Linked DNA regions of Tribolium castaneum. The main gene of each other region encodes a partner of the protein of the gene in region 3 in a complex. Links are inferred from orthologs where the notes say so. Each region holds a gene or a part of one and is shown on either strand. Other genes may lie near its edges. The genes, in order: SmD1, Tango4 and Bx42.

What was found.
Region 1: Bx42 (region 3) and SmD1 share a complex: the UniProt entries of both Homo sapiens proteins name them as parts of the minor spliceosome. The link is inferred for Tribolium castaneum from reciprocal best matches to the Homo sapiens genes SNW1 and SNRPD1.
Region 2: Bx42 (region 3) and Tango4 share a complex: the UniProt entries of both Homo sapiens proteins name them as parts of the minor spliceosome. The link is inferred for Tribolium castaneum from reciprocal best matches to the Homo sapiens genes SNW1 and PLRG1.

What each region holds. Positions count from the first base shown.
Region 1 is NC_087394.1:7,020,348-7,022,593, forward strand, and holds SmD1 (probable small nuclear ribonucleoprotein Sm D1), read right to left. Parts: upstream 1,241-2,246; 5' UTR 1,100-1,240; coding exon 1,086-1,099; intron 983-1,085; coding exon 631-982; 3' UTR 510-630; downstream 1-509. UniProt on the Homo sapiens protein: Plays a role in pre-mRNA splicing as a core component of the spliceosomal U1, U2, U4 and U5 small nuclear ribonucleoproteins (snRNPs), the building blocks of the spliceosome.
Region 2 is NC_087397.1:4,268,844-4,272,267, forward strand, and holds Tango4 (pleiotropic regulator 1), read right to left. Parts: upstream 2,379-3,424; 5' UTR 2,266-2,378; intron 2,215-2,265; 5' UTR 2,183-2,214; coding exon 2,067-2,182; intron 2,015-2,066; coding exon 1,657-2,014; intron 1,610-1,656; coding exon 1,110-1,609; intron 1,063-1,109; coding exon 861-1,062; intron 810-860; coding exon 618-809; 3' UTR 559-617; downstream 1-558. Other genes in the region: Tbcb (tubulin-folding cofactor B), read left to right, coding at 1-162, 210-327; uncharacterized protein LOC656577, read right to left, coding at 2,761-3,424. UniProt on the Homo sapiens protein: Involved in pre-mRNA splicing as component of the spliceosome. Component of the PRP19-CDC5L complex that forms an integral part of the spliceosome and is required for activating pre-mRNA splicing.
Region 3 is NC_087397.1:9,848,763-9,852,450, forward strand, and holds Bx42 (puff-specific protein Bx42), read right to left. Parts: upstream 2,699-3,688; 5' UTR 2,391-2,698; coding exon 2,377-2,390; intron 2,325-2,376; coding exon 2,161-2,324; intron 2,018-2,160; coding exon 594-2,017; 3' UTR 546-593; downstream 1-545. Other genes in the region: ATP-binding cassette sub-family F member 1, read left to right, coding at 1-116, 385-535. UniProt on the Homo sapiens protein: Involved in pre-mRNA splicing as component of the spliceosome. As a component of the minor spliceosome, involved in the splicing of U12-type introns in pre-mRNAs.

The DNA.
Region 1 (2,246 bases), on a different chromosome or scaffold from region 3:
AGCTTTAACTTTTTGTATTGAAAGTAAGAGAATGTTCCTAAATTTGTAAAATAATTATTAATATAAAAAAAATTGAGGTTAAATAAAGTGATAGTCCATCTGTTTCTGTATTGATAGTCAGTGTTTAAGACCACCCGAAAAATGGGGCTATCTTTAGGAGAATGTTCCGTCATGAAGGAGGTAATCAGTAAAACGTTAATTTTACCAAACTCATTTAACCATTTGTAGATAACAAAAACAGAAGAAGCAATCAAAGCCTGTTACGTGAGGGTCCAACTTTTAGAAAAAAAGATCGAATCTGATGAAATCCCCAACGAGAAAAAAGCCGACATGAAGAAAGAGTTACGAGAAGTTCGCAAACTTTTAACCACAAACGAAAACCAACTTTCACAACTCCACAGACACAATCGAAAATCATTCGCATTTGTAGCCGCCTTCTGTTTTGTTTGTTTCACAGTTTACGTTTTATACATTTTAGTACAAGGTCCCGATTTTTAATAACAAAGACATTTTAAACCTAAATATGTTTTATTGATGAATTTAGCAGAATTATAAAAGTTTTACAAATACTGGAACTAAACGAAAAGATTCACACTTACAATTACGAAACTTAATTTAATGAACGTATTCTTATCTACGCCCTCTCCCTCTGCCCCTGCCTCGGGGGCCCCCTCTGCCACGGCCCCTCCCGCGGCCTCTGGCAGCCCCCCGGGCGCTCTCCTTCTTCTTGGCCTTGGCTTTGGGGGTGTCGTCAATCAGCAGAGTCTCGAGGGGTAAACTATCGGGCAAAATGTAGTAACGAATGTTGTTTCCTCTAACTGTTAGGGTGTCTAAGTTCACAGGATTTCGGTTCTTTACAGTCACTTTTACAGCTTTTAAGTGCGTATTCATGGCCACATCTACACCGGTTATAGTGCCATGGACTTGTGTGCCGTTTTTCAGCTCCATTGTGACCGTTTCATGGCTCAGTTTCATTAAAAACCTGAAAATGGCCGAAATGTTAGGTTAGGTGGTTTTTCAGGAGTTTTACTTGGAATTCAAGGAAATAAAAACGTGTCTGATCAATCAGTAGTTTACGTTCTCACCTTACTAATTTCATGTTGATATTTTTGGTGTAATTAAGACAATTTTTATATTATGCCGGCAAAACACGCTTGGCTTACGTTTTTTTACCCCCCCTCTTCCATAGAGGGAAAGAGAATGAGCATATAAGAAAGAGATGGCAAGAAAACTTGCGAAGGGAGCGCCACTTACGTGGCGCCAATTTTAAATCGTTATTTTTTTTATAGGTTTGCAGATAATTATGGACTCTGAAAATAAAAACAATTCTTTATTATTTACTATTATCACAGCTATTATCAAAATAACCTTGCTATTGGCACGTAGTAACAATGAAATATTTTGCTTTATACAGTCGAACTTCGATCACCCGAATAGGCCGTTGCCACTTCAAATCATCTTTGTAGAATACAGTGGAATAATACTTTTGTTGAGTTCAAGTGATTCCTGTTATTATAATATGAGCAATTTTTTTAACTAATCCAACAAAGTGTTTACCTTAAAAATCTCAACTCTCTCTAGTGCATCTAGTGTTCTTGTTCTTAATTTTTATTAGTTGCGTGTTTTTAGTTAATTAATTAATTAAACAAAAATTCGTGTTATAAAAATTTTTCGAATTCAAAATTTGAAATTGAACAAAATAATTGGTGGAGTCGGTTTATCCCCGTTCGGGTGACAGGGGTTCCACTGTATGAATACATTTTGCGGAGAAAAATTTAAGATTAGGTCGATTATATAAATTATATGTTAATAAGAAGTTAGAAAATACTTATCTGAAAAGTTAAAAAAAGTAATTTTTGACTTGTTTTCGCCTAAATTATAACTATAACATGAGAAAGATACGTTTTTAGTTTGACAGTTTTTGAGTGAGGCTTCAAAATTGCTGAAATTATGTGGACACGATTATAATGGGCAAAATTAGATTATAGGATAAGAGGGTTAACCTACAGAAATTTGGGCATAATTATTCACTGTACATAATAACCCCACTCTCCCCTACCTAAAGTATTTGAAAAACACTTGTTACTGATTAATTTATGTTATTTATTACAATATTAGAATAGATAACACAAAACTAGTAATAATCATTTTCGCAAGATCTCGGGTCCGGTCGCAACTCTGACCTCTGTCGAAAGAACTGAAAAATTCCGGTTAGTTTTAAGTTATCAAATGACTACGTTGCAAGT
Region 2 (3,424 bases), about 5.6 Mb from region 3:
ACAACTGGCAGAAAGCACGCCAATTGGTTCAAGATGCAAAGTTACTGTAGCCAATGCTCCCTGCAGACTTGGCACTGTGATGTACACAGGGCCTGTTGAGACCTTACCTGGATATTGGATAGGGGTCAAGTATGACGAACCTTTGGGCAAAAACGATGGAACGTAAGTTACGACCATCAGTTGAAAAAAAATTCTAGCTTTTGTTGCAGATTTAAAGGCAAGAAATATTTTGAATGTGCTAATAATTATGGCGCCTTTGTTAAGCCACACAACGTTGAATGTGGCGACTTCCCTGAGGAAGATTACGACTTGAACGAGGAAATATGATTGGTAACAAGCATTCCAAATTCGCAAACGAATTAATTTATTGTTTTTATCAAATTAAAAATTATTTATCGTAGAGCATTTTAACCTTTACCCTCACGATTTTACATCTAGAAAATCGTAAGTTTTGTGCACTTCTGCGATTATTAATGGTCTAGAAATGTCAAATGGTTTGATTAATTTTCGGAAAATTTGATAAATAATGCAAAGTTGGGTAAAATTAAAACTTTTTAGTAGCTCATAAAATTTTATTTATTATTTTTATAAAAATACAAATTATTTTAATCATAGAATTAGAATTTCCTCCGTTTCAAAATATCGGGTTTCCAGTTAATCGGATGCGTTTCTTCAGTCGCAGTTTCATCCTCTTTGTAGATTTTGATGGTCTTGTCAGCTTCAGTTGTGATTAATCTTGAGCCAGAATTGTCGAAAATCATTGAGAATATTCCAGCTTCACTGTCCATTGACCCAGGTTGTACTGGGGCCTAAAAATGTAACATTAATCGATTGACTTCCTTCAAAGTTACAAAAATTACTTGTAATCTTTGGAAATTGTAACCGGTCCTCCAATCCCAGAAATGTAAAGTTCCATTATCGCCCCCTGAAACCAGGACGCCTTCTGGATTGACAGCGAGACAATTAACAATAGCATTATGACCGGACAAATTCTGTATGAATTTCCCGTCAGGACATTTCCACTGTTTTATGTTATCGGGTGAGCCCGACGCGAACATGTTCCTACAAATAATAAAATAATTACAAAAAAAATAATTAAACAATCGTACAAAGTCGGGTGGAGAATCACATCTCTAACGCTCTTTTTGTGATTGGTAAGCGTACAAATTGATTTCCCAGCTGCCAGGTCCCATAATCTGATTGTGGTATCATGAGATCCTGTGATAACTTGAGGTTCGGAGGCTTGCGCCACCACGCTAGCTACAGTATGCGTGTGGCCGGTCAAAGTGTGAACATTTGCTTTCGTCCTCATGTCCCAAACCCGGGCTGTTGAATCACGCCCTGCTGTTAATAAAACATCGATTGTGGGGTGAAGCGCTAGAGAGTATACAGCCGATAAATGGCCATGGTAATGTCTAATGACTTTGTTGTACTCCAAATCCCAACACTTGACCTGTCTGTCTTCACCGCAACTGAACAAATAAGGGTGTCTACTGCTCACAGCCAACCCTCTGACCGTGCTCACATGCCCAGTTAGGGACACTTTCAACTGCCCACTTGCCAGGTCCCAGATTTTTATTATTCGGTCCGCTGCGCCGGTCGCAAACCACTAACAAAAAAACGGTAACAAATTTGCTGCCAACAAAAATTTTATACCTCATTTCCTGGCTCCACCGAAACACACCTGACCCACCCCAAATGCCCCGCAATCACCCTGTATAGCTTCCAAGGGGCGTGCCATTTCGGCTTTGGCATTGTGGGGACTTTTTTCATTAAATTGGCGAGCTGGTTTTGTGTGTTATTTTGGACGCTTCGTGTCATCAAACTTGTGTCAGTGTACGGTACAACAGCCCCCTCGGTGTTTGGGGCCGCGTCGTCAGTGCGTGTGCCCGGTGGTGGGGGGTTTGGCCCAGCTTCTGCCTCCCGTAAGTGCTTCATAGCTTGCATTTTCTTAACGTCGTCAAAGACTAGGCCGTACAAGTCACGGGCTTTTATGGCTTTTCGCACCATTTCGCTATTTAATTCGTAATATTAAGGGCTGCTTGTTTTTGTGGTTTGTTACTCACGCTTTTTCGTCCACTGATGGCAGTAGTCCCTGGTTTGAGAGAAACATGTCGTGAGACCGTTTCAAGGAACGGAATACTAACGTATGTACGGAGTGTCTCTGCACGTCTTCGGTCATTGTGAAGACGAGTATTTAACTCCGGATATTTACTGAATTGTAATACTAGTAATTAATCTTCGGGTAAATAAACAAAATCGTACTTAACCTCTCTGCAAAAAATCACCAAATCCACCATTTGGTAACTTTTGGTTCGTAGAATAGACAGGAAAAGAAACTACTATTGACTCAACCGTGGAGGGAGTTTGAGTTTTTTTTTTTTTTAACCAAAAAATAGTTAATTTCCATACCAAATTGAATTGAATTTCTTATTTGGGTAGTTTTGGTCACAAAATAAAAGCACGCCAATTTTTTTAACATTTGTATTTTTCAACAATTATAAAAATAGATACGAGTTGTTTCACTTATAAATATTTCGTTATTAAGTCTACAATAAAATACATAGTTTTTTGACCACAAAACGCATCTAGTTTTTATCTGTACAAGTCCCAATGTCAACATTCCTGAGCCCAGATAAAAGCAATATTACACAAATTATTTACATTGTGAGTCGACTACAATAAAGTAGCTTTGCCTAGTGCCCCACTTTGCAGCGATGTGATTAAAAATGCAAACAGAATTATATAATGCAAAGAAACTTAATCCAACGGAGTGATCTTGACTGAAGATCCGCGAGATTTGCGATACCTTTGAAAGTCTCCTGCCTGGTAAGGTAATGCCCTCATATTACTTCTATAATATGGTACATCATACGGAGATATGTGTAATTGATTGATTGGTGGTGACCGATTTCGCCACAAAACCGCCAATAAAGAATAAAATCCACAAATGGTATTCGAAATTAAAGTCATAAAGTTGACAATAATTGGGGTGCAAACCCTGATAAGTCCTTGCGTTTCACGCAAAAGTTTCAGGAGATAGTCTAGAAGGTACTTGATGGTGTGTATCAAGAAAGTGATCAGTGTTGATAACAAAAGAACCATAAATATGGTGGCTTGTTTAATGTTGGGCCAAGTCAAGGTTTCAGTAAACAAGTTCCTCAACTGATCCTTGAAAAACTCCTGAAATTTTGCACCCAATTCACCCAAATTCTTCTGAGAAACGTCTTCAAAAATCTGAGTGGGAGTTATATTATGAACTGGAGTCTTCTCTCTGACTGGCCTCACAACTTCAAGCTTGACTCTAACTTCATTGTGGAAGAATTCAACGTTTTTGATTTTGTACCAAAAACTCCCAAAAACCTCTTCGTCCAGACTCACCCACAAATTGTAACCTGCCGGGGCCCCGATTGTTTTCGGCTCC
Region 3 (3,688 bases):
ATTTTGGATGAACCGACGAATAATTTAGATATTGAATCGATTGATGCACTAGCTGAGGCCATTAACGACTTCAGTGGAGGGGTTATTATAGTGAGCCACGACGAACGACTTATACGGTAAGAGCAAATAAATGTACTCTTTCTTTTCTTTTTTCGCCTCCCTTTATAGAAATTTTATATTTTTCGTCCTAATTTCAGGCTGCGAAGTATGCGTTTACCAGCACTATTAGAAGTGAATTTAATTTTTAATTTGCATTAGCTACTTAATTTGTTCGTTAATTTAAATTAAGATGAAATTCCATCGAGTTTTTGTAACAATTTCGGCTCGACCATAAAACTCAATTTTATTGTTTTGTGTAAAAAAAAATTACTAATTTTGTTACAGTGAAACTGATTGCGCCTTGTACGTAATAGAAGACCAGACCATAAACGAATTAGACGGCGACTTCGACGACTACCGCAAAGAGCTCTTGGAGAGTCTGGGTGAAGTCATCAACAGCCCAAGTATTGCAGCAAACGCTGCCATTGCTCAATAATACAACAAAAAATTTCTACAATTGTATTTATTTAAAAAACCCAAATACAATCAATATTTTAATCTCTTCTCTTTCGCTTATCCCTCTCATCCCTCCTCTCCGGTTCCTTGCGTTTGCTCGCCCGTTTAGCCTGACTCAAGAACTGATCTAACCCGAACGGATCTTCCTCTTTCTCAAATTGTACAGGTCCAGACCTTGGCGCATTCCGATCAGTTCCACTAAACTCCTTATCCGGAACAAATCGGTTCGTTTTGACGATTTTCTCCAAATCTTCACCGTATACCTCCTTATCCACATTCCTACTAGGTCTGTACAAGTGATTGGCCATTGAGCCCCCCTCCCTCCACGGCTTATCATAAACATTATACGCGTCATCGTCCCCATATCCATGCCCCAAACCTTGAGCCTGTCCGAATAATCTCTGATCAAACTGCACCTCGTTTGAGGAGACTCCTCTGGCAGGCATCCCCAAAGCAATCTGCTCGGAAATATCTCGCTCTCGCTCCCTCTTCAACTTTGAACGCTTATCGGGAGCAGCCCTTGCCAAGTTTCTCTCTCTTGCTCGCTCCTTATGCCGGTCCTGTCTCAGCATTTCTCTCTCACGTTCCTCCTCATCTGTGATTTTAGCATCAGCGACTTTGATCCCAGCACGTTCATCTCGAGCTTTTTGAGCCAACTGTCTCAAATGCTCCTCCTTTTGTTCCTTTTCCTTCTGAGCTAGTTTTTTCTCGAGTTGGGCGCGTGTTTCCACAGCCTCTCGTGCTTTTCTATCGGCAATATATAGAGCCTCAGCCAACTTTGCGAAATTCTCGTTGATGTGCAACTGTTGCAACCCCCGACCATCTGCAGCTAAACGCTTATCTAACGGAACTGTGTAACCCTTTGCATTTTTCCAATTTGAAATACAGGGCGGGATTTTCCACTCCTTTTGCTCCTTAACAGTGACACGACGTGTGGGGCTGTGCAAAACGGGCGCTGGGGGCGAAGGGGGCCCCCTTGGGATCTTCTTATTGATCTTGAAACGTGGGGGCTCCATTGGATCAACTTGTGCTTCGACCAAACGAATGACGCGCTGTTTGGCACCCGAGTTGAAGGCGGCCCCTTGTTGTGAAGGGGTGTAACGAATAAATTCAGCGGGGCCTTGTTTTTCGGCACATCTGACTGGCATTGCAGCTGCGATTTTTGAATTTGTTAGGCGTTGTAATGCTTGACGGGTTTTTTCTGTGATATCTTCGATTTCCTCCTGAGATGGTTTAGCAAGACTTGGGTCATTTTCTGTGGTTACTTCAACTGGTAACAAATCGGAGAGTTTTGAATAGACGATTTTGTCTTTGCCGTGGCCTTGACGTGCGATTACGTCGTATTTGACTTTGCCTTCTGCGTCCAATTGGACGGCCAAGGCGTTTGAAGTTGATTCTTTGCCCTTTCGCCCCATGTCAAGAGGGTACTGGGCCACGTGGATTTCGGGAAATGCGCCTCCATCTATAAATTGCAATAAAATCAGTGATAGTGAAAACTTTTCGACGTCCTTGACTGATTATTTGTAATAAAATTTAATAGGACCAATCAAAAAAGTTGGTCCCATCGTAGTTAAATTTAATTACAAAAAATCGGTGGCTAATTACCTCCATAGTCGGTGTGGACTCGTGGGACCCAACCCCTTCTTTGTCCATACGGTGGGGCAATGCTTTGGGCTGTTACAACAGATGTGGAACGTTGAGTTGTGGCATTCTGTTGCCGTCTCTCGTCGTCCCGATCCCATACGGGTTGTATGGGGGCGGGCAATAAACTACAAAATAAATGCGTCTTACTCTACAAGCCCAAAAGTGAGGTTAGGTTACCTGGATAATTCCATTTCTTTTCCTAAATCAGCAAAAACTTGACAATAGCGTAAAATATTCACACTGCACTCATTAATGTAAGTTTTTATTGTTTTACTTCACTAGTAAATCGGAAAATATGTAAAAATCGATTGCACAACAGTGGCTTTCGGGAAAACAATTTCCGCAAAATCTTGATATTATATTATCGCTGTGCGATATTCAAAGCAATTTGTACTTAAAAAACGCAACTAAGTAATGGATTATTGTGTGTAATTCTGTTTTATAAATACACCCAAATTAACGCCACTACTAAAACGTCAAATAGACGGAATGATTTGTAGAGGGCGCGGTTGAGCATAGATTGTTTGTTCCGAAGTTCTATAAGTTCGAAAATACAGACTGATCCAGAAATACTGAGTCTGTTGGCAACACATTTGAAAGTGTTTGTGCTTGTAATTTGTAACATTGCAACCGAATTCGATTTTTCTTGACAACTATTTGACGTACAACCCCACAAGAATGTTAAATTGTTGTTAACTGGAAGCGTATTCCATTAGTATCCTTAAAAATTTAAGTCCAGTGTCGCCAACAGACTCAGTATTTCTGGATCAGTCTGTATTTTTAACGTGAGGGTATCCCCAAAAAAAAAGATGCACAACCACTCACAGACTTTTAGCTACTAGTTACTTCAACAAGCAGACCCTTTACTTACGTAGAATAAACAAAAAACAATAAATTTTTTAATATTTTTCCAAAAATTTAGAAAAACATTCATGTATCGTGCGGTTGCCATTGATAATTGGCAATAATTGGTGGTGTTTGTGAACTTCTAATTTTGAAAATGTACTTCTCCAACATATAAATAAGTGCCTTAGAGCACTAAAGTGAAATTTGAATTTTGGAACTAACACCATAACACACTGTAATTTTTAACCGCTGTAGAACTGTGTCTAGCACTAAATTGAACTAAAAACACTAAAACATATTCAACCGAAGGCTGTTTACTATTGAAATTCGCGCTTTTTTGGTGTTGGTACTTCTGTTACACTGTTACGTTGGTAGTGCTGCAATATCGGCGCGCCTTTTAGCACCTGTCATGTTTTGTAGTTTAGCATTATTTTTGTTTAACGCTGTTTTAGTGTTTAGTTTGTGTATTAGTAAGGATTTATGGTGTTAGTGGGTTTGTTTCTCGTTATTTAAAGACAATCTTATTCAGAGGAGGAACATTTGCAGGAATATTTCCACCCTTCTTTGGTAAGTGCACATTTTAGTTGAGTATTAATTATAGCTTTAATTTAAACATTTTGACGCTTCAAAAGGTGAAATAAAG